3 linked regions of the Anolis sagrei genome follow. The protein of the gene in region 3 interacts with the protein of the main gene of each other region in a pairwise test. Links are inferred from orthologs where the notes say so. Each region holds a gene or a part of one and is shown on either strand. Other genes may lie near its edges.

The links.
Region 1: the proteins of ADRB2 (region 3) and KCTD13 interact in a protein complementation assay, tested with the Homo sapiens proteins (2 studies listed by BioGRID and IntAct, with this or other methods). The link is inferred for Anolis sagrei from reciprocal best matches to the Homo sapiens genes ADRB2 and KCTD13.
Region 2: the proteins of ADRB2 (region 3) and GPR37 interact in a protein complementation assay, tested with the Homo sapiens proteins (2 studies listed by BioGRID and IntAct, with this or other methods). The link is inferred for Anolis sagrei from reciprocal best matches to the Homo sapiens genes ADRB2 and GPR37.

What each region holds. Positions count from the first base shown.
Region 1 is NC_090026.1:17,154,201-17,165,261, forward strand, and holds the start of KCTD13 (BTB/POZ domain-containing adapter for CUL3-mediated RhoA degradation protein 1), read left to right. Parts: upstream 1-6,991; 5' UTR 6,992-7,198; intron 7,199-11,061. Other genes in the region: kinesin-like protein KIF22, read left to right, coding at 1,833-1,868. UniProt on the Homo sapiens protein: Substrate-specific adapter of a BCR (BTB-CUL3-RBX1) E3 ubiquitin-protein ligase complex required for synaptic transmission.
Region 2 is NC_090025.1:127,039,898-127,050,334, reverse strand, and holds the start of GPR37 (prosaposin receptor GPR37), read right to left. Parts: upstream 4,997-10,437; 5' UTR 3,632-4,996; coding exon 2,651-3,631; intron 1-2,650.
Region 3 is NC_090022.1:101,798,101-101,808,966, reverse strand, and holds the start of ADRB2 (beta-2 adrenergic receptor), read right to left. Parts: upstream 5,064-10,866; 5' UTR 4,320-5,063; coding exon 3,116-4,319; intron 1,241-3,115; exon of another isoform or gene 1-1,240. UniProt on the Homo sapiens protein: Beta-adrenergic receptors mediate the catecholamine-induced activation of adenylate cyclase through the action of G proteins. The beta-2-adrenergic receptor binds epinephrine with an approximately 30-fold greater affinity than it does norepinephrine.

The sequences.
Region 1 (11,061 bases), on a different chromosome or scaffold from region 3:
CATTTTTAACAAACAAACAAACAGACAAACAGACAAACAAAACACAACGTTTGCAAGCTTGGTAGTTGATTAAATGTCCTTTGACCAATAGCTGGCCATTTGGAGTGCCTCTGGTGTTGCTATAAGAAGGTCCTCCATTGTACATGTGGCAGGGCTCAGGTTGTATTGCAGCAGATGGTCTGGTTTGCTCTTCTCCACACTCACATGTCGTGGATTCCACTTTGTAGCCCCATTTCTTAAGGTTGGCTCTGCATCTCGTGGTGCCAGAGCACAGTCTGTTCAGTGTCTTCCAAGTCGCCCAGTTTTCTGTGTGCCCAGGGGGGAGTCTCTCATTTGGTATCAGCCATTGATTGAGGTTCTGGGTTTGAGCCTGCCACTTTTGGACTCTCGCTTGCTGAGGTGTTCCCGCGAGTGTCTCTATAGATCTTAGAAAACTATTTCTTGATTAAAGTCGTTGACGTGCTGGCTGATATCCAAACAGGGGATGAGCTGGAGATGTCACTGCCTTCGTCCTTTCACACATTTCTCTGAAGTACAACCAACCCAAAAAGTTGTTGTACCTTAAAAACGCACAACTTTATGGTGATACAAGCTTTCATAGAACACCAACTGCTTCATTAGATTCATGAACTGTTGTGCTAAATAGGCGCAGAGAAAAAAATAACCCTAAACATTGTAGACAAATGGTCATGACACACGAGCAGAATAAGACTTTCATAAACAAAGTCAGGAAATTTATTAATTTCAGAAAAAGTAAGCGTACCTCTTCTGACATTCAAACCTGAGACTATGGTTAATTGACTACGGCCATGGATTTGAAATCGGTTTACAAACCTGATTTCTTTCAGATCACTTACCATATATACTCGAGTATAAGCCAACACAAATATAAGCCGAGGCACCTAATTTTACCACAAAAATCTGGGGAAATGTAGTGGCTTGTATATAACCCAAGTGTGAGAAATGCAGCAGCTACTGGTAAATTTCAAAATAAAAATAGATACCAATAAAATTACATTAATTGAGGCATTCGCAGGTTAAATGTTTTTAAATATTTACATAAAACTAGTTTAAGATAAGACTGTCCAACTCTGATTAAACCATTATTCTAACCTTCTACAATGTAAATGTGCTTATGTATCCTTCCAATAATAAAGAGTAAATAAATATAATAATAACAGTAATAATAGAGTAAAATAATACATGTAATAATAATAGAGTAAAATAAGGGAAATGTCATAATAATAATCAATAGAGACAAATAATACCTCAAACAAACTAGAGTTTTTTCTCCCACCCTGAACATTTCACAGATATATAAATCCCAATTGCATAGTTTCCAAACTCTGAGGATGCCTGCCATAGATGCAGCCAAAAAATCAGGAGAAAATGCTTATGGAACATGGCCATTACAGCCTGGAAAACTACAGCAACCCCTAGTAGCTTAGATTTTTGATATGATTTACAATACAGGATGTGAGGAAAGGGAGAAAACTAAAATGCTGCCTTTTTTGGAGTTGGTGCACATTACTATAGGTATGAGCCACATTTCTACTTCCTGTAGGCAGGTCAATTTGGAGCAGGGTCTTCTTGTCTCCATTATGCTCAATGAGAAATACAGTTAGCGGAAGTTGTTTTACAAGAGGAAACGCAGAAGGGCAGTATTAGATTTCTAGCCAGCAGATCTTGTGATCAGACATAACTAAGAGCTATGGATGGTTTTATTACCCTGACAGTTGCATTTATGTGTTTACACAACTGTGTGTGTGTGTTGTCTGGTATGAATAGTTGCAGGATTTAACATTCTGTCCTCTTTTCTGTATTTCCTGCAGGCAAATATCTTGGAACATTGTGGAAAAATTTTGTAACCAGATCTGATCTGCAGAACTACAGCCCTATATCCTTGTTTTAATTCATTGTGACTGGTTTTCCATTTTGTTTAGCTTCAGTTTAATATGCTGATATATGTGTGTGTGTGTATGTGTGTGTGAGAGAGATCTCATTCTGGCAATTTGTCTTGTAATTAAGGCAAGGCTCATAATGTAACAAAGAAAAAATAGTTTTTTATACAGGAAAGTGAGGCAAAAAGATGCATCTGTAGCAAAAATGAATAGTTAAAAATTGATTAGGCAGGCCTGCTGGAAAATATTTTGTATTTTTAATAACTCTTTTGATATTTGGTGATGTACTGTTTTTAATATGATTTATGTTTAAAGTGTGGTTTTACTATTGTAGTTATAAGGCACTGTATTTTTGCCATTATCTATGTGTAAAACTGCTTTGAGTCCCCATAGGGGTGACAAAAGCGGTATATAAATACTGTAAATAAATAAATAAAATTTGTAGAAAATGTTTCTATTTCTAGTTTTTATGGTTTTATTGTGCTTTTTAATTTTAATAAAATACACACAAGAAGAAAATAGTCAAAAATTCAAAAACGTTTTGTGGTTTCAATACATGCAAATTAAGGAATATTTTAATTTGGAAAAGAAAATAGGTTTTGGAGAGAGAAAGACTTTCTGGGATAATATATTGAATACCGAAAGGAAAACAATTACTAAGATATATGATAAGTTAATTGGATGGGCAACGGAAACGGAGGAGATAAAAAACTCCATGATTAAATGAGCAAGAAATGTCAGCAGAACGATTAGTTTAGAGGAATGGACAAAAGTTTATGACAAAACGTTTTAAGATATACTTATGCTTCTGATATAAAATTGCTTTAAAATGTTACATCGATGGTATATAACACCAAAAATAATTAGGGATAATGTATAAAAATATGGATAACAGATGTTGGAAATGTAAATTACAAGAGTGATCGTACTATCATATGTAGGGGTCACGTGAAAAAACATCAGAATATTGGAAAATGGTACACAATGAATGTAGAAAGATATTGAAAATTGACTTTCCAATGAGACCTTTTAGGAATATATGATTTGGATTTATTTAAAGATTTAAATGCTGATAAATTGTTCACTTTTTTGCGACTGTGGCGAGAATGACCTTTGCTAAGTTCTGGAAAATAGAGTTGATTCCCTCAAAGACTCAATGGTTGGATAAAATAATGGAAATTAAGGACATGGATAAATTGACATTTTTATTAAAATCAAACAACGGAAAGGGAGTAAAAATGACGGACTGGACAGTTTTTGAAGATTATATTTACAAGGATGGTAAATAAGATTTTTGACAAAGACTGAGGAACCATATTTTTATTTGTTTTCGGGACAATAGAAGAAACTTTTTCTTCATTATGGGGTGAAAGGAAGAAGAATGGAAGTCAAATTTTTTTCTTTTTCTTTTTTTGTCTTGTTTTGTTCTGTTTTCTTTTTAGTATGTGTTTTGTGTTGTATTTTGATTTTATGTTTTTTTTTTGTAAAATGAATAAAAATTACTTATACTGATGGGGGGGGGGGAAGGGACCCCTTTTTCTTTCTTTACTTCCATAACTGACCTACCCCTCTTTTCTCTCACTTGTAGTTTTTTCATCTTTCCTACCTTCTCTCCCTTCCCTCCACCTCTATTCCTTTGCCTTTTTGTGATATCCTTATTTCTGTTTTCTAGAAGGCGGCCCTTTTCAGCCCCAAGCTCCCTCCTTTCTTCCCTTATAGGAATGTGAGCTTGTCCTGTTTTCAACATTTTGATCTGCATTTCATCAGAAAAGAAAGCTACTTTTGTGAAAACAATTTATCATACACAGTTTGGAGCTACACTGCCCTATAACTGCCCTATAACCCAGGATCTGATCCTAGATTACCTGTTTATCCCAGATTATCTGTTAGTGTGGACTCAGGTGTTCCAGTTCAAAGCGGATACTGCGAGTTATTCTGCCTTGCTGTTGTATGGCTATGTGGAAGGGTCCTCAGGCCTCTTCTACACTGCCATGTAAAATCCAGATTATTTGCTTTAAACTGGATTATATGGCAGTGTAGACTCGGGCCTCTTCTACACTGCCATATAATTGAGATTATCAAAGCAGATCATCCACCTTATTTGCTTTGAACTGCAGAACATGAATCCACTCTGCCATATAATCCTGTTCAAATCCGTCTGAATTTTATACGGTACTGTAGAAGGGGCCCCATATAATTCAGTTAAAAGCAGATATTGTGGATTATATGAGGCCCTTTGTGTTTGCTTTTATTATGCTATTTTATACTGTTTATTGTTATTGTCATTTGTTATTTTATATATTTTGTTATGATGTGTTTTGCTGTTCTGTGTGTAACTATGTTGTATTATTTTGGGCTTGGCCTCATGTTAGCCGCCCCGAGTCCCCTTTGGGGAGATGGTGGCAGGTTATAAATAAAGATTATTATTATTATTTTATCTGCTTTGATAATCTGGATTATAAGAAGCCTCGTATAATCCAGTTGAAAGCAGATAATCTGGGATGAGATCCTGGGGTATAAGGTAATGAAGATCCAGCCAGTCAGCCCTACAATATAAAGTGTTAGTTTTGACCTTTAATGCCTTACATGATTTGGGTCCTTACCTACAGGATCGCCTTTTCCCATAGAACCTACCCTTTAGGACACTGTGGTCTTTTGGTGGATGCTGACTCCAATTTAAGACCCAACTGAAGACCTTTCCGTTCCGAGAGGTCTTCCCTGTAAACTCTGGATCATGAATTTTGAATTTACATTATATTACCACTATGGGTTGGTTTTTGTATCCTGTGTTTGGTGTATGTGTTGTCGAACAATTTAAAACGGCAGTGGATAGTGAGATCCAAGCCGCTGTGGGTTAAGCCTGGTAAGAAAAAGCAGCCAATATTCCAGAATAAATCTCACCAAGTTGAAGCAGAACCCACCGAGGTATTTATTTAATTTTAGCTGAAAGTAATGCCAGCCTGCAGTAATCCACCCCCAAAATAAGCTGAAATACAACAAAACAGGCATTTTTATACAAGTCTGATTCAAAGTTCCCACCATCCCCAGCTTGGCCATGATTGGCCAAACCAAGATAACGTCAATTAGCTCTCCTTGCGGAGGTGGGAGTCTGGCACACTTTAGCCAATGGGAGAGCACTGCCTGCCTCTGATGTAGATTTCTCTCTGTCCTGGAAACGAAAAAGGGGGAAATAGCCTTTCCAACGCCCTGCCAAGAAGTAGGAAAACCGCATTCAAAGCACCCCTGGCAGAGGGCCATCTAGCCTCTGTTTAAAAGCCTCCAAAGAAGAAACCTCCATAACACTCTGGGGCAGAGAGTTCCACTACTGAACAGCTCTCACCATCAGGAAGTTCTTCCTAATGTTCAGATGGAATCTCCTTTCTTGTAGTTTGAAACCATTGTTCCACATCCTAGTCTCCGAGACAGTTGCATGGTTTCTCATGACTGAACTCCATACCAGAATGACAAATGTCACCTATTGTCCAAGCAGCAACACAAAGGTTGGGTGGTCCTCCAGGGCTCCCATTGACCTCTGTGTCACCTGGGACTTATGGGTTGCATGGAGGTAGCTGATTTAATCCAATCAAATGCAAAGGAAGCTTGGCAAGATGTTGGCTGATCCTCCCAGGGCAGGAAAAATGTGGGCAAAGGTCATCGCAAGGCTGGGTTGGCAGCTTCTCAAATCAATTTTATAAAGTGATACAAAAGCATGAAGAGTCTTTCAGTTGCTTCCGACTCTTCATGGCCTCATGGACCAGCTCACGCGAGAGCTTCCTGTCGGCCGTGGCCACCCCCCAGCTCCTTCAGAGTCAAGCCAGTCACTTCAAGAATACCATCCATCCATCTTGCCCTTGGCCGGCCCCTCTTCCTTTTTCCTTCCCTTTTCCCCAGCATATTTGTCTTCTCTAAGCTTTCCTTTCTTCTCATGTTGTTGTTGTTCATTCGTTCAGTCTTCTCCAACTCTTCGTGACCTCATGGACCAGCCCATGCCAGACCTCCCTGTCGGCTGTCACCACCCCCAGCTCCTTCAAGGTCAGTCTAGTCACTTCAAGGATGCCATCCATCCATCTTGCCCTTGGTCGGCCCCTCTTCCTTTTGCCTTCCACTTTCCCCAGCATAATTGTCTTCTGTAGGCTTTGCTGCCTCCTCATGATGTGGCCAAAGTACTTCAACTTTATCTCTAGTATCCTTCCCTCCAGTGAGCAGTCGGGCTTTATTTCCTGGAGCTGCCAATCTGCTACCGGGCACAATTCAAGGTGCTGGCGTTAGCCTATAAAGCCCTAAACGGTTCTGGCCCTACTTACCTCTCTGAACGCATCTCCACCTATGAACCGACTAGGACATTAAGATCGTCCGGGGAGGCCCTGCTCTCGGTCCCGCCTGCGTCACAGGTGCGGTTGGCGGGGACGAGGGACAGGGCCTTCTCGGTGGTGGCCCCTCGGCTATGGAATGCCTTACCTGTAGACATCAGACAGGCCCCTTCGCCGCTGGCGTTCTGGAGGAAGGTTAAGACCTGGCTCTACGAACAAGCGTTTGGCTAAACAGTGCAACTGAACACAGGAAGACGGTAAAATTGAACATAGGAAATGGTACAAGGATTATGAGAACGGATTCCGATTTGTTATTGAGGCGTTATGATATGATAATGATTGTTTGATTTTGTCTGCTGTATATTATGTGTTTTAATCGCTTAGGATATTGTTGTGATAACCTGTATTGTGTAAACCGCATTAAGTTGCCTAATTAGGCTGAAAAATGCAGTATAGAAATAAAGCAAATAAATAAATAATAAATAATAAATAAATCTTCTCATGATGTGGCCATAATTATTATTATTAGGCTGTTAGGAATTGTGGGAGTTGAAGGTCCAAAACACCTGCAGGGCCCAAGTTTGCCCAAGGCCTGCTCTATAGAATACTGCCTCTTACACAACACAAAAACTTCTCACTACCTCCAGCGCATGCGCCCTGAAATAATCTTGGTCCTCTCTGCGTTCCGTTACCTTTCCCTCGCTGTTAAAAAAAAATCGTTCTGCGCATGCGCCGTTCTCTCTTCCTCTCTCTTTCCTTTTCAATACCCTCGTGTGTTGTTGGGCTTCAGCTTGCTTCACACGGGCGGTACCCGGATGTAGCTGCTCACGTTCTCCAAAGAGAGAGAGAGAGAGACCCCTAGGGGAGGGAGAAGGCGGGGAAGTTTACGCATGCGCCGTGGCCTCTCTCCTCCTCTCCTTTCTTCCCTCAGGGGCTTGGACGTCTCTTAGGCTGGTCGCTAGGCCTTGAATCCAGGCGGGGCTGGAGGTGAGTGGGCCTCGTCGGCGGGGGAAGCGGGGGACGGACTCTGGGCCGGAGGTCGAAGGGCAGGAAGTGGCCTCAGGTTGGGAAGCCAAGAAAGAGAAGGAAGGAGACAGGGAAAGAGAGAGAAGCATTGGTTGGGATGAGGGCAGCCCTCACATCCACATTGTAGAGTGAATGCGGTTTGACACCACCTTAACTGTCATGAGCAAACTGGGGCCTTGTAGTTGTTTTGGATTCCAACTCCCACCATTCCTAACAGCCTCGGGACCCTTCCTTTTCCCCCTCAGCCACTTAAACACACACAAAGGCTGCATCTACACCATTTGACATCACATTAACTGTCTTGGCTCAATGCTGTGGAGTTTTCCAAGGTGTTTAGCCTTCTCTGCCAAAGAGTGCAGCAAACTACAACTCCCAGGATTCCACAGCATTGAGCTTTGGTGGTTAAAGTGGGGTAAATTGCCATTAATTTTACAGGGTAGATGCACCCAAACATGCACTTGCTGTTCTTCATTCCTCAAGGCTATGTATCTAGAAAGAGTTGAAGCAACATATTGTCGAAGGCTTTCATGGCTGGAACCACTAGGTTCTTGTGGGTTTTTTCGGGCTATAGAGCCATGTTCTAGAGGCATTTTTCCTGACGTTTCGCCTGCATCTATGGCAAGCATCCTCAGAGGTAGTGAGGATGCTTGCCATAGATGCAGGCGAAACGTCAGGAGAAATGCCTCTAGAACATGGCTCTATAGCCCGAAAAAACCCACAAGAACCTAGTTGAAGCAACAGCTTGCAGGTATATTGTCGAAGGCTTTCATGGCCACAATCACTGGGTTGTTGTACGTTTTTTTGGGCTGTATGGCCAAGTTCGACAAGCTTTTGCCATTGGTGTGTCAGAATTCGCCAAAAACCTAAGCATAGCTTGAGTGGGGTGCCACTTCAAGAAAAAAATGGCAATATTTATAGTTTAAATAAGAAAAAATGTATAATCCATGCTGAGTTATAGAGCGAACAATGCTCAAATGTGCAGATGTTAAATTTGTAGAGCCTTTTACAAATTTAGGGATGGAATTAGTTTAGTTCTTATAAGGTGTCTGCATGTCTCTGTGTCTGCATGTCATCAAAAATAGCCATGCATGTCAGTGCTGACACGAGTGTCATAGGTTCACCAGGCATTCTCTCCTGACGTTTCACCTGGTTAAACATGAGCCAACAATGTCATGTGGCGGCAAAAAAAGCCAATGGGATTTTGGCCTGCATCAATAGGAGCATACTGTCTAGATCCAGGGAAGTCATGCTACCCCTCTATTCTGCCTTGGTTAGACCACACCTGGAATATTGTGTCCAATTCTGGGCACCACAATTCAAGAGAGATATTGACAAGCTGGAATGTTTCCAGAGGAGGGCAACGAAAATGATCAAGGGTCTGGAGAACAAGCCCTATGGCAAGCCATGAGAGTCAAGACAAAGATCCACCCAGAGGAAAAGTGTTCTTGCCATATATCAAGGGAACCACTTAGGGAAGGGAAGCCGATGAGGAAACACAACATACTAACTATCTACAGACCCACCAAGAAAATCCAACAAATGCTATGTTCAGCAAAGGACAAGAGGGATCCTCTCACCTCTGCAGGAGTCTACCGTATTCCATGCAGCTGTGGACAAGTCTACATAGGGACCACCAAACGCAGCGCCCAAACACGAATCAAGGAACATGAAAGGCACTGCAGACTACTTCAACCAGAGAAGTCAGCCATAGCAGAGCACCTGCTGAACCAACCTGGACACAGCATATTATTTGAGAACACAGAAATGCTGGACCACTCTCACAACCACCATGTCAGACTACACAGAGAAGCCATTGAAATCCACAAGCATGTGGACAATTTCAACAGAAAGGAGGAAACCATGAAAATGAACAAAATTTGGCTACCAGTATTAAAAAACTCTAAAATTAAAACAGCAAAACAGTAGAGGGAAAACAATCAGGGACAACATACAAACTATCTACAGAGCCACCAAGAAAGTCAGCCACAGCACAACATTGCAACAGCACAACAACAGAGAGGAAGAGGCAGGGACATATAATTATCTCTCAACAAAAGTTTGCCCCAGGCACAGTCAGGCCATTGTATGCTAATCAAGGTGGTCAGTTGAAACATTCACACCTAGCCCCAGCAGAGAAGAATCCTTTGTCTCACCCTGGTCATTCCACAGATATATAAACCCTTTTGCCTAGTTCCAACAGACCTCACTACCTCTGAGGATGCTTGCCATAGATGCAGGCAAAACATCAGGAGAGAATGCCTCTAGACCATGGCCATATAGTCCGAAAAAACCTACAACAACCCAATCAGGGACATCTAATCAGCCCTCAACAAAAGATTGCCCCAGGCACTGCCAGGCTATCAAATGCTAATCAAGGTGGTCAGTTGAAACATTCACGCCTAGCTCCAGCAGGCAAGAGTTCTTTGTCCCACCCTGGTCTTTCCACAGATATTTAAACCCATTTTCTTAGTTCCAACAGACCTCACTACCTCTGAGGATGCTTGCCATAGATGCAGGCGAAACTTCAGGAGAGAATGCCTCTAGAACATGGCCATATAGCCCGAAAAAAAAAATACAACAACCCAGCTTGCAGGTGGTTGATAGATGAAGACATGGAAATGTCAGGACTAATTCCCAGTGTGGTTGCATCAGGGATGGGTAAAGGTGAGGCAATAGGAGGAAACAATAGCCTGAGGCAGGTTTGTTGAGCCAAAGGGCATTGGACACAAAGATGAGTGTAAATCTCCCATTTCCTGCTAGGAATAGCAGGAATGTGCCAGTCAGACAGAAGGTGAATTGGGATGTGTTAGTAGATCTCTGGGTAATTTTTCAGCATTTTTAAATGGGTTTCTGATCCCTTATTGTCTAAGAAGAATATATATAAATAAGTCTTAGAATATTCAAGAGAAAGCCAGGAATGCATTTTTGTGTGTGACAGAGAACATGTAGCCTTGGTTCTGGAGGAAGAATATATTCAGAGCCACTCTAATTTTTAACTATTAGTATAAGTACATGCCAGAAGTGACATTTTTCACCTGATTTTGGTAAACGGACCTCCAGATTCTAGTAAAAATCAAAGAAAACCCACAAGCCTGAAGTTTACCCCCTTTCCTATAGAAGACCTACAACTGGTGATGAGCAGACAGGTCCAGGATGGGATGTCATTGAAGAAGTGGAAGTGTTGGGCGCAGTGTGAAGCTGGTGGCAGTGGGGGACAGAAAATTTTTTGAAATTGGCTTGAAGGTTTGCAGAGTGTTTTTTTCTGCAGAAAGGGAAAAAACTTTTTCTCCAGATTATATGCTGTATCTTTATTGGTCTTAAAAGCCTTTCCTCTCATAGTGAGTTAAGAAAGCAATAGAAATGAAACAATAAATACAGTAGGCATGACTTGCTCTTTAACGCTGTAATGAGTAACAGCAGTGGGCAATAAGGAATTAAAACAATTTTTAAAATTAACTTTCCTGGTTCTGACTCACTCTCTAAATGTTACTGAATTGCCATTGCTTTGGGTATAAGTCCTGAGAGAAAAGCAGGGTATCGCCTGCCTGCCTGCCTGCCTGCCTATCTATCTATCTAAAAGGCATTGGCAAACTTTGTCCCTCCAGGTGTTTTGGACTTCAATTCCCACAATTCCTAACAGCTGGTAAGAGCAAAATTTACCCATGCCTGTTTCAGATAGATAGATAGACAGACAGACAGACAGATAGATAGACTGACTTTGCCCCTACTAGCTGTTAGGAATCTATCTATCTATCTATCTTTATCTATCTAAAACAGGCATTGGCAAACTTTGTCCCTCCAGGTGTTTTGGACTTCAATTCTCA
Region 2 (10,437 bases), on a different chromosome or scaffold from region 3:
GGTTCCCTCTAATGTTATGTGCATCACAAATGTACCTTTCAAAAAGACCAATGCCTTAAGGATTATAGGTGGGTAACATGTGAAGGCCTGCATAGTCTTAGGCCCCTCCTACACTGCCAAATAAAATCCAGATTATCTTCTTTGAACTAGATTATATAGCAGTGTAAACTCATGCAATCCAGTTCAAAGCAAAAATGTGAATTATTTGTTTTCAAAATCTGGATTATATGGCAGTGTAGATGGGGCCTCAGACTGAGGCTGATGAGAGTTGCAATCCAGCAGCAACATGAGGGTGACTAATCTCTCGCTCTGTTTGTAGGTCAGACAATTATAAGCACTCAGATTTCTGCACACTGGCCATTTTAATGGTACAATTGCATGTCAAGTAGAAACCTACAGTAAAGTAATACTGAATTGTTACAGTGACACACAAGCTTACAATGGGAGCGGGGAGAAAGGGATTGAGAAAACAAAACATTTATTTAGCACAGCTGTGTTTTATAAGAAGTTCCACAGCTGAGGATCATGCCCTAAAGGAGAACATTAAAATGACACGAATCAAAGTGATTTATTTATATGAAAGTGCACCTTCTTGTACAAGAAAAGGAAAAGGGAGGAATTCACTCCCATGCCCCATCTACACTGACTATATAATGCAGTTTCAAACTACGAACATTATATGGCAATGTAGATGAGGCCCCAATCTCTATCTTCAGAAAATCCATCATGACAATTACATTGACTGTCAAAGTAGACTCTGAAGTAAATGTTATTCCAAAAGAATCCAGCAACTGTTTCCTACCTAGCAAGCGGAATATCCTTCTTAAGTGATAAGGAGAAACTTCCCTCCCCTTATTTCTGTTACTTAAATGAGTGATAGTGAACATATTGCCATACAGGCAAAGTAGCACTGCTTGCCAAAATTACTCCATACCACCCACTAGCTTTAGTGATTCTGGTTTCCTCAGTAAATAAATAAAACAGACAACCTGAATAATGGCAAGATTTGGGCCAGCTGGCTGAAAGCTTGGCTGACAGGATACTGCTGTGTTTGCCAAACTAGATTTAAAGGAAACCCAAGGCACTTTTTAAAATATATATAGGAAACTATGGTATTTGGAAATGATCAATTACATTAATGATACATCAATAACATCTATGGGTTTCAAACTATCAAGTCACATGAAAAAGGAAACATTTTTCTTCTCTGTTTCTTAAGTAAACTGGGCAACAGCAAGAACAATAAAGAAGCCCTCCTTCCATGTGTGACTTCACAATATATCCAACTACAGACAGATGTAAAAGTTTCCATGAACTGGACCATAATTTCTTATGATAGTCTGGTTTAACAGTTACAATAGAATACTCAAATGCAAGCCAAGCAGAATTATATTTCAGAAGTTAGAAATAAGTTTTACTGTTTTCATGGAAATTTACTTTAAGTAGGAATAATTTCAAAATCAAAATTGGGAAGTATGGATAGGAATACAAATCTGAGTCATAGCCCTATTACACTATGTAACATAATTTGTGTTCCTGGGTTATAAATGACATTTCCTAATTGGTTCTATCATAAAACATGGGGAAAGTTTATTGAACTGCAAAAACTTTGGTTTTTTTTTGGGGGGGGGGAAATCCTGCAACACATTTTGCTATAGTTTTTCAATGAATAGTCTCTCAACCAATTTAACATAGTTGGTGGCAGACACAAAAATGCAGTTTCTGAAACATAACAACTACTTCCAAAGTAAGTACTGCACAACAAAACAGGAAATAACACTTTCAAAACAGGAACAGATTTTTTTCAAATTCTATTTGTGTTAGCAGTAACCAAAAATTATTAATCACATTCTGATACAGTTATTCATTTATAGTGTTTCTGAATGTAGAATGATGGATTCATGCATAGAATAGAAAACTCACATTCATGTGGATCTGTAGATCTGACCCAATATATAACATTAAATCCTATTTCAACTATTTCAACTGGTATAATTCATAATCAGCCTCATTGAAGTCAAGAGGACCAAAGCTAAAATGTGGTCAGAGCATTGGGAGTCAATTATGTCAACTTTACATACCACAATTTCTTTAGAAGTTATGATATTTCACATCTTGAAATGAGCATGATTTTTTCTTTTTTTTAATTGCCAAGGTTGAGATTGAGGAAGGAGCTGAAATGAAGCATATTAAATGGAAGTTTTTTTTAATTGTGTCAGAAGTGACTTGAGAAACTGCAAGTCACTTCTGGTGTAAGAGAATTGGCCATCTGCAGAGCTGTTGCCGAAAGGATGTCCAGATGCGTTACCATCCTGTGGGAGGCTTCTCTCATGTCCCTGCATGGCAAGCTGTAGCTGACAGACAGCTCACCTCATCTCATGGATTCCAACCATCCACCTTCAGGTTAGCAGTTCAGTCAGCACAACGGCTCCACCCAGTGCACCACTGTTGCTCCTAAATGGAAGTTAACTAGATATTCAAAACTTAACCATTCCTAGTTAAATGGAAGTTAACTAGATATTGAAAACTTTTTCAGAGTACAGGAAAGGAACAACACTGAAGGCACGCTCAGCAAAATATGCTATTCTTGTTAATTAAGGAGATCCACGATCCCACCATGTGAACACTAATATCACATTCTTTGACTTACCTCAATGTATGGTACAATTTTGCAAGAAAAATCATCCAGCAGCCACTTTTTGGTGAGTTCTTGAAAGATCACCAGTGGCAAGCAGAAGAAAATGATGAGGAAATCCCAAAAGGCTAGGTTGGCCAGCAGGGAGTTGGAGATGCTCCTCATGTAGTAGTTGTGGCACACTATGCACATCACAGCCATATTGCCCATGATCCCAATGCCAAAGATCACTATCGAGAGGCACATGACCGCGTAGGCACCATACGACTCCTCCGTCAAGGGGTAGAAGGGATTCTTGACCCGACCTGGGCGGAGTGTCCCATTGCGTAGGGCACCAGCATCTCTCTCCACAGCACCAACTGTGGAGCCATTCAAGGCCAGCGCCTGAGGGAGATCACTCTCTACCTCATGGGTACTTTGGTTGTCTGTGAAGTTATAAACATTTATTGCGGGGTGGACATTCTTGAAAGCCTTGGCTTTCCCTACTCGTCCTTGGTCCTGGAGCTCAGTGGCACCTCGCTTAAGTCTAGCATGTCTCTTGGAACTAATCCCTGTACTATGCCACCTACTTTCTGTCTCCTGCAGGAGATCAAAGTCTCTTGCAGTTTCCAAGGCTATAATAGTGTCTTTGTTGACATGCTTCTGGCTATGTTTTCCCAAGGAGACAACAGGCTGTGGCACGGCTTCTCCATTGATACTCCAATCCTTGGCATTGTTCGAAGAAGTCCAGTCCTGTGGAGTTGGAGCTGTAGAGCCTTTGGATTGTCTGCTCTGAGCCGAAGTTTGAGCCATGCTTTCCACAGCCCAGACAACTTCTTGCCCATTTGCTTCTTTCCGCAGTGGTGGCAGAGAGGCCCGGCACCATGCTCCACACTCCTTGCCCTTTCTGCCAACAGGAGGGCCATCTCCTCTGGAGGGTGCCTGGGGCAGAGCTGCTAGGGCAGAAAGCCTGCCTAGAAGCCATGCCAAGCCAAAGAGTGCCTTGATGGGATGCATGTTTTGGAGTACAGCTCTGTGCTGATGCCCTTTTATTTGCAGCAGAGCCCCCGGTGGTGCCGGCAGGACTGAAGACCAACAGGTTGGAGATTCAAATCCAGGGTGAGCATGGATGAGCTCCCTCTGTCAGCTCCAGCTCCCTATGCGGGGACATGTGAGAAGCCTCCCTCAAGGATGGGAAAACATCAAAACATCCAGGCGTCTCCTTGCAGACAGCCAATTCTCTCATTCCAGAAGTGACTTGTAGTTTCTCAAGTTGCTCCTGACATGAAAACAAAATTTGCAGCAGATGAGGTTGCCAGGTACAGAGTAAGGATGCCCTTTTATTTGCAGCTGATGAGGTTGCCAGGGCCAAACATCTCCTCTAAGGCTGGAGCAAAGAGAAAGGCGACTTGGGTGATGAATAAATAATGTCTTTTATTTCCACAAGAGGTTGCAGGTTCCAGTCACATCCTTCACAGAGGCCAGGCTTCCAGGAGTCCAGAAAGGGAGCAAATCCAATCTCATGTTCATAGAAAGGCAAAGAAGGGCTTCGTTATCCGATGACAGGAAACGGTTTCCCCTTGGGTCCTGAAGGCAAGGCAGCCTCTCAAGAGAAGACCTTGGGAAGTTAGATCCAGGAAGGCGGCGAGAGGTACTGGCGGGGCTGGGCGAGCCCACACTCGCCCCCTGAGGCCTTGGGGTCGCCCACTTGGCATCCTGGCCAGCATCTCTCCCTCAGCCGGTGGTTTTGTGGCAGGCAACGCTCCGTCGGGCGAAGCAACGCTGCTCCATCGAGAGAGAGAAAGCGGACCGAGGCAAGGCGCGCAAAACCTGTCCTGTTCTTATGATTTCTCCTCACAAACACAACCCCAAAGCACAGCCTGGAAGAACTGAATGACAAGCCCCTCCTGTTGTGTTTCTCCCTGCTCAAGGGAGGTCTTCAAAGTTGCTCCCAGTGCCCGGCAGCAACTTGAGGGCGGGAGAAAGGGAGAAAGCAGGCAAGGCAGCTTGCCAGCAACGTGTTGCTCCCTCTTTGCCTTTTTGCCAGACAGATGGGCACCGAATAGATGGGCGAAAGGGGGCGGGGAGGGGAGGCGGACCAGGCGCGCAAGGTGGCTGCTGCTGCGCTTCCTCGAGGAAGGGAACCTGTCCCCTTGCCCTCCTTCTTCCCTTCCCGGGTGTTTCTCCTCCAGGCGCGGCTTTGGGACGCCTCCCGCGGAGCCCCCTCTCGCCACCTCCGCTCGCGCTTTGTGGCGGCTCCGAGTCAAGAGAAGGGAAAAGGCGAGGAGAAAGGGAAGGAGAAGAAGAGACGGGAGGCGTGCGCACTGCGCAGGCGCGGCTCTCCAGGGGCGCCTCAGCCTCCGCGACGCGTCTGCCTCTCTGCGCTACTTGCCCCAGTTCTGAGGCGGAGGAGAATAGGAAGCAGGGAGGGAGAGAGGGAGAGAGGGAGGGAAAACGCGCGCCAAGGTGGCTTCCAAGCGTTGCTCAAGAGGATTACAAAACAAGCCCTCCCAGTAGCAACACTGAGGGTTGAGGGCAAGGAGGGAGATGCATTTCCTTTGCCTCCCCCTCCCCTTTCTTTATTTCTTACCATTTCTTCTGGAATGAAGCTTATTTGAATCCCAACCTACCTCAAAAGTGCTGAGATTCACTTCAGTGAAGGGGAAGCCCTACATAGCAATCCACCACACCCACAGCAGCTGAAGACAGGGCATGCACAGCCTCATTGAGACAGAGGGCCCTTCCACACATATCCCAGAATATCTAGGCAGAAAATTATTATTATTATTTATTAACTTTATTTATACCCCGCAAAATCTCCCGAAGGACTCGATGCGGCTTACAAAGGCCAAGGCCGCCGACAACAACATAAAATACACAATAAAACTCATAAGCAAATAATAAACGTCACACAAACAATAAAACAGTAAAACGATGACACCGTGACGCAATTAAAACCTAAAGGCCAGGCCAAATGTAATAGACAAAATTTAAAAGTGCTGAACTTGACAGGTAATATGTAGAGGTATTTGGAGGTAGGTGCAATGTGCAGATAATCCCGAATCTCTAACAAAGTGCATTTGGGACTTGATGCCAGGAGTTTCCTATTCTGGAAAGGCACACTGGAACAGCCAGGTCTTCAGGCTCTTCCTGAAGACTGCCAACATTGGGGCTTGTCTGATGTCCTTGGGGAGAGAGTTCCAGAGTTGGGGGGCCACCACAGAGAAGGCCCTATCCCTCGTCTCCACCAAACGCGCCTGCGACACAGGTGGGATCGTGAGCAGGGCCTCTTCAGATGATCGAAGGGAGCGTGCGGGTTCATAAACGGAGATGCGGTCACACAGGTAGGCAGGTCCCAACCCGTTTAGGGCTTTGTAGGTAAGCACCTGCACCTTGAATTGGGACCGGAAAATGAACGGCAGCCAATGGAGCTCCTTCAACAGGAGGGTTGACCTCTCTCTGTAGGGAGCACCAGTTAACATCCTGGCTGCCGCCCGCTGGACTAGCTGAAATTTCCGAGCCATTTTCAAGGACAGCCCCAAGTAGAGCGCATTACAGTAGTCCAATCTAGAGGTGAATAAAATCCCACATTATATGAATATGGACTCAAATAATAATAATAATCTTTATTTGTACCCCACCACCATCTCCCCAATGGGGACTTGGAAACGGCTTGCATGGGGCCAGGCCCGAACAACAATTACAATGAACAAAATCAAAACACAACAGAAAACGCAAACAATAAACAACATCATAATTACATTTTTTTTGTCGTGTCAGGAGCGACTTGAGAAACTGCAAGTCACTTCTGGTGTGAGAGAATTGGCCATCTGCAAGGACGTTGCCCAGGGGACGCCCGGATAATTTGATGTTTTTATCATCTTTGTGGGAGGCTTCTCTCATGTCCCCGCATGACAGCATTTCTCAACCTGAGGGTCAGGACCCCTAGGGGAGTCGTGAGGGCGCATCAGAGGGGTCATCGAAGACCATCAGAAAACACAGTATTTTCTGTTGGTCAAGGGGGTTCCGTGTGTCAAGTTTGGCCCAATTCAGAAAACTCTTTGATTGTACGCAAACTATAAATCCTAGTAATTACAAATTCCAAAGGTCAATGTCTGTTTTCCCAAAACTCCACCAGTGTTCACATTTGGGCATATGGAGTATCCATGCCTAGTTTGGTCCAGATCCACCATTGTTTGAGTCCACAGTGCTCTCTGGATGTAGGTAAACTACAACTCCAAAACTCAAGGTCAATGCTTACCAAACCCTGCCAGTATTTTATCTTGTTCATGGGAGTTATGTGTGCCAAATTTGGTTCAGTTCCATCATTGGTGGAGTTCAGGGTGCTCTTTAATTGTAGCTGAACTATAAATCCCAGAAACTACAAATGACTCCCCCCAACCCCACCAGTATTCAGATTTGTGTGTATCGGGTATTTATGCCCAGATTGATCCAGTGAATGAAAATACACCCTGCATATCAGATATTTACATTATGATTCATAACAATAGCAAAATTACAGTTATGAAGTAGCAACGAAAGTAATTTTATGGTCGGGGGTCACCACCACATGAGGAATTGTATTAAGAGGTCATGACATTAGAAAGGTTGAGAACCACTGCCGCATGAGGAGCTGGAGTTGATAGAGGGAGCTCATCCGCCTCTCCCTGGATTCGAACCTGCTACCTGTTGGTCTTCAGTCCTGCCAGCACAGGGGTTTAACCCACTGCACCACCAGGGGCTCCATCATAATTACATAAAACATATGAATACATAACAATATAAGAATTACAATAGACACAGGCACAGAGACAATGGGTGGGCTGCATGTAATGATTAAAAACAAACTAATTAAAATTAATTAAAAACTTAGACAAGATAAAAGAGAGAAGCAGATAATATGTGGAGTAGTACTCATTATGGCGGGGGTTGTGGAGTCAAGCTTTCCCATAAGTGGGGGGGACGTCTACTCCAATGACAGAACTTTTAGCTAAACATTCACGTGAAATTGTATACCTACTCATCAAAGGCACAGTGGAAGAGCCAGGTTTTAAGGTTCTTCTTAAATAAATAACCCAGTTTAAAGCAGATATTGTGGAATTTTCCGCCTGGATATTCTGGGAAATAGAACAAGGTTCAGGGATTAAGAGTCTATACCGTAGTACAAAGATTCAGGGTTCCAAGAGTACGGGAGACAGGTCAGGATACCGAAAATCCACAAACCTGGGGGAAAACCAGCATCATCTATCACCAAAATAAAACAAATACTTTTCTCCCAAAGATCAATCCCAAGGCTAGCTCTTTATATCCAGAAACACCCAGCTGCAACCCATCTCTTGCATACCTCCACCTTTAATTGCTTTCCCCATGAACTCTTACTTAAAGATTACTCAACCATTAACTGCAGAACATGATATATGACAGTGTGGAAGAGCCTTCAGATAACCCTTCCACACAGCCCTATATTCCAGATTATCAAGGCAGAAAATCCCACAATATCTGCTTTGAACTGAGACCGGATCCAGACAGGCCTTTATCCCAGAAGCATCACCAAATATGGATGTTTCTGAGGGCCTGTCCACACCCACCCCAGAAGGTGCACACTAGCCTGAGAGAACGTATGGAGGCCCTACCCCCTCCCCTCAAGCCCTCAGACCCCTTAGAAAAGTAATAAAAACTTATGTGGCCTCCATTAGAAGCCTCGGCAGGCTCTCTCGATGCATAAAAATGAGAGAGCGGGGGGGGGGGGGGGGGCAATTTTCCTCCATCCTCTCCCCCCAGCCCCGCTCTCGTGGTGTGCCATTTCTACACGCCAGAGAGCTGGTCAAGTTTTTATTTTCTAAAAGGTCTGGTAAACTGTGGAAATACTGTCTGGATCAGATAAACCAGTTCAAAGCAGATATTGTGGGATTTTTTGCCTTGATATTCTGGGCTATATGGCTGTGTGGAAGAGCCCTGAATAAATCTGTTTTGTGTTTGGGTGCTTGTTTTTACTATACCACATTCTTCGAAGTTTATCACATAAATGTGCTATGCCATAGCAATTTTTTTTGTGTCAGGAACAACTTGAGAAACTGCAAGTAACTTCTGGCCTGTGGGAACTGGCCATCTGCAAGGATGTTGCCCAGGAGACACCCTGATGTTTTGATATCCTGTGGGAGGTTTCTCTCATGTCCCTACATGAGAAGCTGGAGCTGACAGACGGGAGCTCACCCTGCTCCCCAGATCTGAACCGTCAACCTTTCAGTCAACAGTCCTGCCAGCACAAAAGTTTAACCCTTTGTACTGCCAGGTGCTCTTGCCATAGCAATGACATGATTTTTTTCTGCTATCAACAATCCTGCCATTACCTAAGCGATCCCTAGCAGTCCGAGGATGATGGTTCTCCAAGTGTGGTGTCCTGGCAGTGGGTCCGTAGGTGACTGTGGAGCCCTATTCTTGATCTGAATCTTCTCCCACAGTGAGGGCATTGGTTTCCAGGTGGAAGGCGGTCTCTGTCGGGGTTAGCTTGACTCGCCTTCCTCTTGGCACGTTTCTTTCGCCCTCCATTCACGCCTCTTCAAATTCTATAGCACTGCTGGTCACAGCTGACCTCCATCTGGAGCACTCAAGGGCCAGGGCTTCCCAGTTTTCAGTGTCTATGCCAGAGTTTTTCAGGTTGGCTTTCAGCCCATCTTTAAATCTCTTTTCCTGTCCTTCAACATTCCGTTTTCCATTCTTGAGTTTGAACTGGATCATATTTGTCTACACTATTATCCAGTTCAAATCAAATAATCTGGATTTTAAATGGCAATGTAGAAGGGGCTGTCAAATCATTTCTGACTTATGGTGATCCTAAGGTGAGACTATTGCAATTTTTTATGTGGCTAAGTAGCTAACTCGCCCAAGGTCACCTAGTGGGTTTCAATGGTGAACTGGAAAATTGAACCTGACCCCTCGAGTTGTAGTCCAATGCTTAAACACTAAACTACTCTGACCCTCTAAAAACAACAGTACTAGGAAAGTATGCTGAGATTTCTACTTCAAGATTGTTCTAAAGCTTCCAATTACATGCCCTCCCTTTTTGAAAATCCACTAGAATGAATTGCTCCATAAATAATCCTCAGATGCTCTTTTCTTCTCTTTTGACAGGACTGGATCATGCTCATCTCCTATCCTACGTCATACGACTGGACTTTGAATGCATGCCCTAGAACGGTGTCCATCATTCCCGTTTCCTGGCCTAAACATTGCCAAATGTAACATTAGCATTGCGTGATTCATAGTCCAAAGCATCACTTCTGGTGGCACATGACCCAGAAGTGCCATTTTCAGTTCCTGTCATGGCTGTGTTTTGTCTGTGCAACACGCTCATGGCTAGTCTATAGATGCTGAACTTTAGTTGTGCCATTGGGTGATTGCAGATCAGTGATAAACATTTACTGTATTTTCCCAAAGTATAGATGTTGTCATTCCAATATTTTAATTTTCTGAATGCCCTAGCATGTGTACTTGGAAATAAATTTCAATGAAGTCTATAATGATATAGGATGCAATAGAACTGATGAAAGTGATAGGAATTTTGTCCACAGGTTTTTTTATGCCAAGATGGCTTAGTTAGCCTGCAAACCAAACAATTTTTAATTCTCCATTCTTAAAAAATAAACAGTTTTTCCATTTGCATTCTTTAAAAAAAAGCTTACAAGAAAAGAAAGAGACAAAAATATACACAGCATTATTTGTCTTGCTGCCGGTTTCTTTGTGCTCAGCTGGTATGAAAGGAGGTAATGATCATAATGAGCTTGCACTCACAATTCTGCTCTTCCTCAAGACTCCCAAGGGGT
Region 3 (10,866 bases):
AAGAAAGGAAAAGTGACAGTCAAAAAGTCTATGAAACAAGCTAAATGGCAAACAAATGATGACTGGACAGAGCTGCACCCGATCTTTCAGTTTTGCCAGAGAACACACAAGAGTTTTTCCTCCATAGACCAAATAATAATAATCAAATGTTATTTTGAAAGGTTGGAATGACCTCTCACATTAAGCTCTGACAGAAGCAGCTCTCTGGAACATTTCCAAAGTTCAGTGGGGTTCTTTCACCTTTCTCTTCAGATCTGGCCAGCCAAAGTACACAACTTAAAAAATAACCCCACCCACCCCCAACCTGGCCATTCCTCAGACAGTACTAGAAATGTCACATAAAAATACATTTTGCCTACTAAATCTCCTGGGATAGTTTCAAAAGTGTGTATAAAAATACTGATTGCCTTGAAATGCATACTTAATGAATCATCGACTTTGTTACAACAAGTCTTCCTCATTGGGAAAAGGCACCTCTTTTCCTTTCATCTCTTTTTGTTCCGCTCCCTTCCCCTCCCATGACCAAAAATGGAAGTTAAACTTTGACTGCCAGGTGAGGGAGCTCTGTGCCAAGAAAAGGGATCACAAACAAGCTGCTTTCAAACATGGGATTGTGAATGACAGAGAGCTGCATCCAAAGCTGCAACTAGGAGTGGGGGAAGTGGAGGAGAGTGCCCATAGTCATATGGCTGACTGGTTTTCTTTCCTAGATCCGTCAACATGCACTTGGGCATCTCTCTCTCTCTCTCTTGCTCTCTCTAGCTCTCTCTCACATACACACATGCAAAGTTGCATGGCCTCACAGAGATGACACTATAGCCCTTCAACTGCCTACACTTCTTAGTAAAGCTTTGATTCAAATGGGGATGCAAAGAGTTTTCAGAATTTTCAAGAATTTTTGGATTCCTGGAGTATCCTAATAGCTCCAGCAACATTTTCTTTTGAGATGTTTGTTTAACTTAATTAAAGGAAGAGGTGGCAAAACATACACCTACTCAGATCAGAGAATTACTTGAATAGCTATCGCAAGTGGCACACAACACTTCTACATCTTTGGTAATCAGGGAAATTTTCTTGAATGGTGCCAACACTGATGATTTTTGCATGTTCTTACAGAGTATATGACAGACTGATTTCATAGAGGCCCAGCAATGCTCACAAAGAGAAGTGGGAAAAGACAGGCTGTATGGCCATGTTCCAGAAGCATTCTCTCCTGATGTTTCTTCAACATCTATGGCAGGCACCCTCAGAGGTTGAGGGGTTGACCTCTCAACCACTGAAGATGCCTGCCATAGATTTGAGTGAAATGCCAGGAGAGAATGCTTCTGGAATATGGTTATACAACCCAGAAAACTCACAGCAACCCACTGATTCCGGCTATGAAAACCTTCAACAACAAAAAAACAGCTGTTTGGACAGAGAAAACTGGACATAGTTAGGGAAGGAAATAGCTATACTCCTCAATGAATATGAATTGTTAAGAAAAATATAAGCTCTTAATAACGATTAAACACCTCCAGGCAGGGACAAGCACACTATGTACTAGCTTAGCAATATAATACAGATAACCTAGATCAATCCCATATTTATTCCAGAATTCACCGCTTCCAGGCTGCTGTAGACTGCAATTTTTTTATTTAAAAAAGAAGAAGAGGAGGCATTTCTTGGAAGGGAGTGGAGTATTTACTTTTGTCATTATAGTGTCATGCCCTTAGAATCACTTACTAAACTGAAGTTGTTAGCCAAGGTCCCTTAAATGGAATTGCTTGCAAATTACTTGCTGGTCCAAGACTAGCAAAGCACTGCTTGGAGCAACCATAATTTTTGCCTTCCTGTCATGCCTCAATGGGAAGTCACAGAAGAGGAAATGAAAGCATAGGCACAACAGGTTACTGAACAAAACCTTCAACAGAATCAAAACATTGTTTTATATTATCACAAAAATTGGACTTCCAAATAAACTCCAAGAGTTCAATAAACCACCATCGGGATGGATCACAGCAACCGCTGCAAAACATTTTGTTTCATGATTTTAAAATAAGGACCCACACAAGTTCCTCACTATTTGCCTTGTATCTGCCAAGAGTCTAAATATGGAACTATGAGCCCTGAATGAAGAAACCCGTGAATATTACTACTGGTGCAATATGATAAATGGGCGATGAGGGTGGGCTAGTTACACTGCAAGGCAACTCTCAGCTTCTCAATGACATAAGCCCTGAAGATGACAATTAAAAACAAATTTCAAAGTGGTATTTCACAGGGTGAAATACATTGAAAAACTAAAATAACGTGGTGCTAAACATTATGTTTGTTGTATTTGTATCAGCTATAATTAATAAAGATTTTGGAGGTTCTCCTTGAACTGATTTCCATACAATGTTTAAAACACGACACATTCAAATAACTTAAACAAAAGGTAAACATTGACTTTACAGTATTCCTAAATCTGTCAGATTGAGCTTGATATCTTTGCCTTAAAGCAGACATGTACAAACTATGACCCTCTAGGTGTTTTGGACTTCAACTCCCACAATTCCCAACAGCCTCAGGCCCTTTTCTTTTCCCCCTCAGCCACTTAAGCAGCTGAGGGGGAAAAGGAAGGGGCCTGAGGCTGTTAGGAATGGTGGGAGTTGAAGTCCAAAACACCTAGAGGGTCATTGTTTGCACATGTCTGCTTTAAAGGAATCCTTAGAGCCATCATCTTCTAAAGAGGGGATGCGTCATCAATAGCACCAAATTCTTTCTCAAGCGCAGGGATTTCACTTTTAGGCAGCTCAGCTCAGTGCTTGCAATTCCTACACCTGTGAGGTAGATGAACATGGTGACACTACATCACAACAAAGAAGTTCCTTGGAGGACAAGGCCCAGCAGTGCATTTGCTCTTAATGGAAGAAGGAGCTCTAATTGATATATACGCAAATCCAATCATGCCCTTCCTTAAATATTGGTATAACCATAACATGCCAGCGTGGGATCTCTTCCTGCATTTGGGACCACTGCAGTTGTCCAAACAGCTGTTCTATTTCCCATTTTACATGTCATTACCATCAACAGCCATGGTCATCAACCATGTCCCATCCCTGCAAATTAACGTTACCATGCAACACAGTACCTTTACAATGCAAATGCTCTTCCCCAGGAGGAAGGCTGTCTTCTTCACAGAGCAATTCACAGGCCTTTTCTCGCCCCGCATGAAAGCTATTGTGATCCCCAATGAAGTCATTTTTTCCAGTGCTATTGGAATACCCGTTGATGTACATTTTCAAGGCAGACCTCCGGAAGCAGAGGATCTCCTGGAAAGCATACCTAAAGTCTGGGCTACGGCAGTAAATTAAGGGGTTGAAGGCAGAATTGACATATCCCAGCCAGTTCAAGATCACGTACAGGGATTTGGGGATCACGTGTTCATTGATGGCATGCACAAAGTGGACAATGAAGAACGGGAGCCAACACAACGTGAACGTGCCCATGATAATGCCCAGGGTTTTGAGAGCTTTGTGTTCTTTCAAGCAAAACTTGGACACTCTCCTGTGACCGGCTCTTCCTGCATTCTGTTCCTGTTGGGAGCTCTGCTGGTGGAACCGGCCCTCGCACTTGTCTATCTTCTTGAGCTGCTTCCGGGCAACCTGGAAGACCCTCCCATAGACAAAAACCATGACCACCAATGGCAGGTAGAAGGAGATGACGGAAGAAATGATGGCATAGCCTCCATTGATGAAGAAATCACAACAGTTTTCATCCTTGTAGCATTTCTCAGCCTCAGGGATGTCAGCTTTGTCCCAGTCCATCTGGATTGGCAAGAAGGAGGTCAGAATGGAGATGACCCAAACCAACAAAATGATCACCCGGGCTTTATTCTTGGTCAGGTGGCTTTGATACTTGAAAGGGGAGGTGATGGCAAAGTAGCGGTCCATGGCGATGACGCAGAGGGTCTCAATGCTGGCCGTGACACACAGCACGTCGATGGAGGTCCAGAGCTTGCACCAGATGTTCCCAAACTTCCAGGTGCGCTGGATGATGTGGCTGGCACCAAAGGGGATCACCCCCAGGCCCATCAGGAGGTCGGCACAGGCCAGGGAGGTGATGAAGTAGTTGGTGACGGTCTGGAGCCTCTGGAACTTGGCGATGGCGGTGATCACCAGGACGTTGCCAAAGACGATGGCCAGCACGATCAGGGACATGAGGATGCCCATGCCCACCACCCAGGTTTCTTCCGAGGCGGTGGCATTGCCCGAACTGGGCCCTCCGGAGGGGCTATCGTTCAGGCTCAAGGCGAAGGGCAGGAGCGGGCTGGCGGGGGAGCTGGCCACTTCCATGGCGCCTCCAGGAGCCCAAGTCAGCCTCGGGCGGCTCTGGCTTCCCGGCGGCCGCGACGAAGTGCCGTTTGGAGGCGCGGCGGGACCGGGCCCCGCATGTGGCCCTTGCCTTCCAGTCCGTCCTTCCTCCTTGCTTTCCTCCTTCCTCCTTCCTTCCCGCTCGCGCCGCGCCTGCGGATCCCTCGCCCGCCGAAGAACTTGTCCCGGCTCCCGTTAGGTTTAGGGGAGTTTATAGGAACTCCTAATTGTGACGTCAAGCCGCCCCCAGCCAATGGGCTGCCGGCGCACGGCCACCCTCCGAGCGCGCGACACCCGCGCAGCCACGCTCCGGGATGGGGTCCCGCCCGTCGGTCCGGCTGCCGCCCGCCTGCCTGCCTGCCTGTCTTCCTTCCTTCTTTCTTTCTTTCTGCGGGGATCGCCGAGGGAAGAAGGAAGGCTGGGGGGAAATGGCTGGCTTGGCCGTTGGGAAGAGGAAGAGACCTTCCGTCCGATCCTTCCTTGCTCCCTTCGGCACCTGATCCGAAGCCGGAGCTGCTTGGGCTCCGGCAAAACCGCCCGACAGAACAGGAGGAAGGAGCCCGCGACGGGGAAGCAGGAAAGCAGGAAGGAAGGGGCCGGGGCGCCGCGGCGGAAGCCCTTCGCCTGGAGTCTGCCAGCCCGAGCTTCTCCCTCCACGTCCATTCCTACTTGGCGTCCTCAGAGGATTCCACGGGCTTCATCCTCCGCAGGACCCTTTGGGAAGTGAACTCCGGGGCTTGGTGCCCCGAGGGATGGGCGGGCGTGCGGGTGCGGGGGACTCATCTAGCCCTGTCGTGGCGGGAAAGCGTGGTGGGAGGCTTTCTACTCCTGTGTGCATGGCCGGACCACCAATGTATCGCACCGATGGTGTGTTCGTTTTTGTCAAAGTCTACACTGGGCATGGGCAAACTTCGACCCTACAGGTGTTGTGGACTCCAACTCCTACCAGCTGTTGGGAATTGTGAGAGTTGAAGTCCAAAATACCTGGAGGACCGAAGTTTGCCCATGCCTGGTCTACACGTTAATCTCTGCAGCAGTATCTCCTTTGGAAATCTGCAAACTCTTCTTGGGAGGCATCTTTCCAGAGAGTATTTGTTACACATCCTTCCAAGATGGGCAGTGCTGAACCAGACAGGCCCTTGTGGGCTTTTCCAACTTGAAGGTCCCATGAATCTATATCTGTCTAAGCAGAATGTAAATCAGGGATCCTCAGACTAAGGCCCAGGAGCCGGATACGGCCCTCCAAGATCATTTACCCGACCCTCGCTGAGGGTCAACCTCAGTCTGAAATGACTTGAAAGCACAACAACAACAATCCTATCTTATCAGCCAAAAGCAGGCCCACACTTCCCACTGAAATATTAATAAGTTTATATTTGTTAAAATTGTTCTTCATTTTAATTGTATTGTTTTTAAGTGGTTTTTGCACTACAAATAAGATATGTGCAGTGTGCATAGGAATTCATTCATTTTTTTTCAAATTATAATCCCGCCCTCCAACAGTTTGAGGGACTGTGACCTGGCCCTCTGTTTAAAAGGTTTGAGAACCTCTGCTGTAAACCATTCACACAAGCAGACCCCTCACAAGAAACTTAGGGCAGTGGTAAAGTGGCTGGGAATTCTGGGAGTTGTAGGCCAAAACACCTTCGGACCCACAGGTCAAGAACCACTGATCTACAGGGAACTACTTTTTCCTGTTCCGAAAACTGCATGTTTTTCTCTTTGGTCCGACAGTGTATCTACACTGGCCACTTCAGGCAGCTTCAAACTGGTGCTGAAGAAAGTGTTTTCCCTGTGCAGATGATCATTGATCACCTAGGATATCCTAAAACCAGAAGGAGGCCGGAATGGCAATTACACAAACAAGAGAGCACTGGTGCACATTGATGATGACATTGTTATGGATGCTTTTGTGGGAGTTGGTTGTATAGCCACCTCAGTTTAGCTCCAAGCTGCATTAAATGGTCAGTGTAGGTGCGACCTGAGAGAAAGACTGCGGCTGGATCTACACTACTCTGTATCCCAGGATCTGACCCCAGATTGTCTGTTAGTGGAGACTTGTATAATCCTGTTCAAAGCTGATAATCTGGAATACAGAGCAGTGTAGATCCAGCCTGTGTCACCCTGCAGTTTTTTCCAACCACCCTTTTTTGACCTATGACAGGCCTCATATTTATTTAAGCATCATGTCTGCATTTATTGCTGCAATGTATGGACAGAAGTGCCTTGAGGTTGCCACAAGTTGGAAACATGAAGACATACAACAACAAACCTCATGGGACCTCAGTGAGATAATAACGGAGAGGAAGACAATTGGAGCTCAGTTGGTGGTGCATGAATGTCATAAAAATGGTTTCTAAAATAATAGTTACTGGGCTTTTGGGTTGCCACATTTGAAGTCCCTACTTGAATAAGATGCAGAGGCTTTTAAATGGAGCACAACCCCAGTATCGGTTGAGAGTATATTTCTGGACTTTGCATATAATAATAATAATAATAATAATAATAATAATAATAATAATAATTGCTAACCCTTTTTTAAATGAATAATTTTTGGCCCAAGAAAACTGTAAAGTCTCTCCAGAGAACCTAGCCAATGGCTAGAGAGGACATATTTTGTCAGAGAGGGATAAACAAAACACCAGGAAGTCATACTTACTGTATTTTGTGTTTCTCAATAGCTGCTATTAACAAGAAGTACAATGAGATTGTGCTTTTCCTTTTCTAAAGTGTAAAGATCAATTCATTAGCAGTAAAGTCATGAGGGCTATATATTACCTCCTGCGTGCTTTTTATGTTTGGGAGAATTTATGTTTACTTGCCTGGGGTCTTTTATTAAACATCTACGGTTGGCAACAGAAGAAAACATTGCCTCCCTAGGTGTGACATTTTGGACTTCATCTACCCTGCCTCTTCTTATGGCCTAAACTATTTATTGATCTCTCATTCATTGCAGTTATTATTGGTTCCTTTCTATGACATTCCTCCTGCATAGTCAAAATCCATGAATTCAGTCATTCAAGCTTTCTCTTAATCAAGTCATAATTGTTTAACTGTTCCTTTCTTCCATTGTATATATACATTAGCTCCTATCTGATACTTGTATCCAAGCAGGGCCAGCCTTGGTTAGTACTTGGATGGGAGACTGCCAATGAAAAAAGAAGCTGCAGGCTATATTTCAAAGGAAAGAAAGGGCAAAATTGCCTTGAGTATTCCTTGTCTAAGAAAACCACAGAAAATTAATGGCATTGCAATATGTCAACTGGCAAAGTGTACACACACATGCACATCACATATTTAACACCCACACTATCCTCCATCTCTCCACAACTTGCCATCCTGGTAGATCCTCCTGGTAATGACCTGCCACTACAGAATGGAAAATTCACAAGTGAACATATGAGCTTTTAAAGGTCACTACAGAATATGAGTTCATTTTGCAGCTACACAAAAATGGAGTCTCTATTTGTATTCTAGTCTTTTGGGATTTGTCAGTGAAAGGGAAGAATAATTTAACAACCCAGAAATAATGTGGGTAGTTCATTCAAAAGTACTTTTCTTTTATATACATATTTATTTATATCCTGCTTTTTCTCTCCATACTCAAAGTGGCTCACAACTAAAAGTATTTCAATACAACTTAAAATATACAAATATTAAAACAGCATTAAACAACATTAATATTAAAACAATCCAGGTTAAAACCATAAATGCATATAAAATAACACCACAAAATCACAGCAGCCCTTGAAGGTTTTAAACACCTTCATCTTTAACAGCCTGCCTGAATAAAAAAAAGTTTTAGCCTGCTACTAGAAGGACATTCTGGCTTCCCTGGGAAGAAGGGAGTTCCAGAGTTGAGGGGCAGCCACCAAGAAGGAAGGCCCACTCTCTCGTTCCCACGAAACGAGCTTGAGTTGGATGTGGGACCAAGAGAACGGCCTCTCCTGAAGATCTCAGAGTCCAGGCTGGTTCGTACAAGGGGATGCAGTCAGTCAAATAGCCTGGACCTGAACCATTTATGGCTTTAAAGGTTTGATCAGCCTCTTGCAGTTCGATCAACCACTTGCCCTCTCGACCCGTGTCCCTCTTGGCTAGTTAAATTTTGCTTGGAGGGATTACGTGGTCCTTTGTTGAATATAGTAAATGGCTCTCTTGAGCAAGGAGTTTTTCCAGAGACCTGTTTGATCAGCCAGGAAGGATCTGGAATACACGTGGTAGCTCTCACCTCTCCAAGGATCCTGTCCACACCCTCAGACTGCAAAGACTGAAAGGTTTCCATCAATACTAGATAAGCCAAAGTTACATCCACTGGAACTGTATCAATAACAGCATCCATAGTCGCTCTGAACAGATCTGAGTGACTATCTGCAAAATGTTGTGCAAATTCTTCACATTGGGCTGCTGAGTAATCAGGGATTTCTCCTTGAGGAGCAATATGTAATAGTCCCCTGACTACGTGAAACAGCTGAGCTGGTCAGTTCTTTGCAGATGCAATGGTAGCAGCAATTAATGATTTCTCTGCTGCCCCCTTTGCCATGAAGTAGGCTTTCAAATACCCTCTAGCCTGTGCTCAGTCAGATTTGCTTTGAGTTCTCCACCAACATTGCTCTAGTCTCCATCTCACTTGCTCTATAATTACCAACTCCTTGGAAAACCAAGGGGCTGGTTTGGCTCTGCTCCATGAGAGGGGACATTCATGATCAATTGTGTCTACTACCCTGGCCATTTCCCCATTCCAGAGGTGAGCCAGAGCCTCAACAGAATCACCTGCCAAGGTGACAGGAAAATCCCCAAGAGCTGACAGGAACCCATCCTGATCCATAAGTCTCCTGGGGCAGACCATCTTAATTGGTCACACACTCCTTTGAAGTTTGGAGTCCCAGCTAGTCTAAACTTGACCAGATAGTGATTGGTCCATGACAATGGAACTGTGACCAATTCCTCCACACCACCATCACCATCATCCTATCCTGCACAGAAAACAAGATCCAAAGTGTGTCCAGCAGCATGGAAAGGGCAAGACACCATCTGGGACAGACTCGTGGTTGTCATAGAGGCCATGAAGTCCTGAGCCACTCCCAATGGAGCAGTCTCAGTATGGAAGTTGAAATCTCCCAGAACTATTAGTCACTGAGACTCCAATGCCAACCATGAGACCACTCCTGCTAGCTCAGGAAGGGAGACTGTTGAGCAGTGGGATGGGCGTTACACCAACAGAATCCCTATTCTGTCCTGTTCCAATACACCCCTCCTGCCTGGTCAAAATCCATGTATTCGGTCATTCAAGCTTTTTCTTAATCAAGTTGTAATTGTTTTCCTGTTCCTTTCTTTCATCGTATCTATTACACACATGCACGTGGGGGCACACACACACACCTCTATGTGGAGATCAGTTGACATGTAACACAATATTTACTTGGTGTTCCAAGTAGGGAAATATAATAGGCAGCACCTTATATTAAGTTCCAAACCTTTGTTAATTTATTATCTTTCCAAAGATCAACATAAGAGATTGAGAGGCAAAATGCATATTGAATTCTGCTTGCATATGAAATAGAAAGGTACGATAAAAGTTATTATTATATCTGATTTCATTTTTCCAAGGAGTACATTTAGAAAGTAAGCTTTTTGAAAAGTGCTATGAAATAGAGTTGAACAAGACATTTTGACTTTTTCAGTTCTGTGCAGTGATCAGTTAGGGAGCAAAACTAATCAGATTCCTGTTTGATAGACACTCACTAGACACAGAAGACCTAAAGTAAGACACAGTTCCATGATAGCCATGTATAAATATGTGAAAGGATGTCATAAGTAAGAGGGAGAAGGCTTGTTTTCTGCTGCCCTGGAAACTGGGATTGGAGCAATATTTCAAATTACAGGAACTGAGATTCTACCCGAACATTAGGAAGAACTTTCTGACTGTAAGAGCTGTTCAGCAGGGGAACTCTCTGCCTCAGAGTGTGGTGGAAGCTCCTTCCTTGGAAGCTTTTAAACAGAAACTGTCGTGGGCTCTTTACGGTACTTTTCTTGAATGGCAGGGGATTGGGCAAGATGGCCCATGTGGTCTCTTCCAACTATATTCAATATTTTGGTTATTATTTCTATTTTGATGAATACCTTGCACAAGAACAGGAGTGTCAGGAGACAAGACCAGCAAACATGGATATAGATCTTCATTAAATCCATGTTTCATGAGTTCAGGGAGACATAAAATGCAGATATGTTATTTAATCAATAAATCTAACTGGAACAAGTTATTTCACAATCTATAAAGGATCTGTTTAATTTGAAACCTAGAAAGTGGAGTATCTTTGTATTGTATTGTTGTTAACAGTCATCAAGTTGACTTTGATTTCTCTCAACTCTGTATATGAGAGACCTTTCATCACCAAGCCTATCAGCAAATATTATACATAAGGCTTTATTCCAATATACTGTATTTCAATGAAAGTGATTGCAAGGTTGTTTTTCCTCACTTGCTTTTGGGATATCTTCTCTGAATTTAGCATCCTTGCTTTGCAACCAC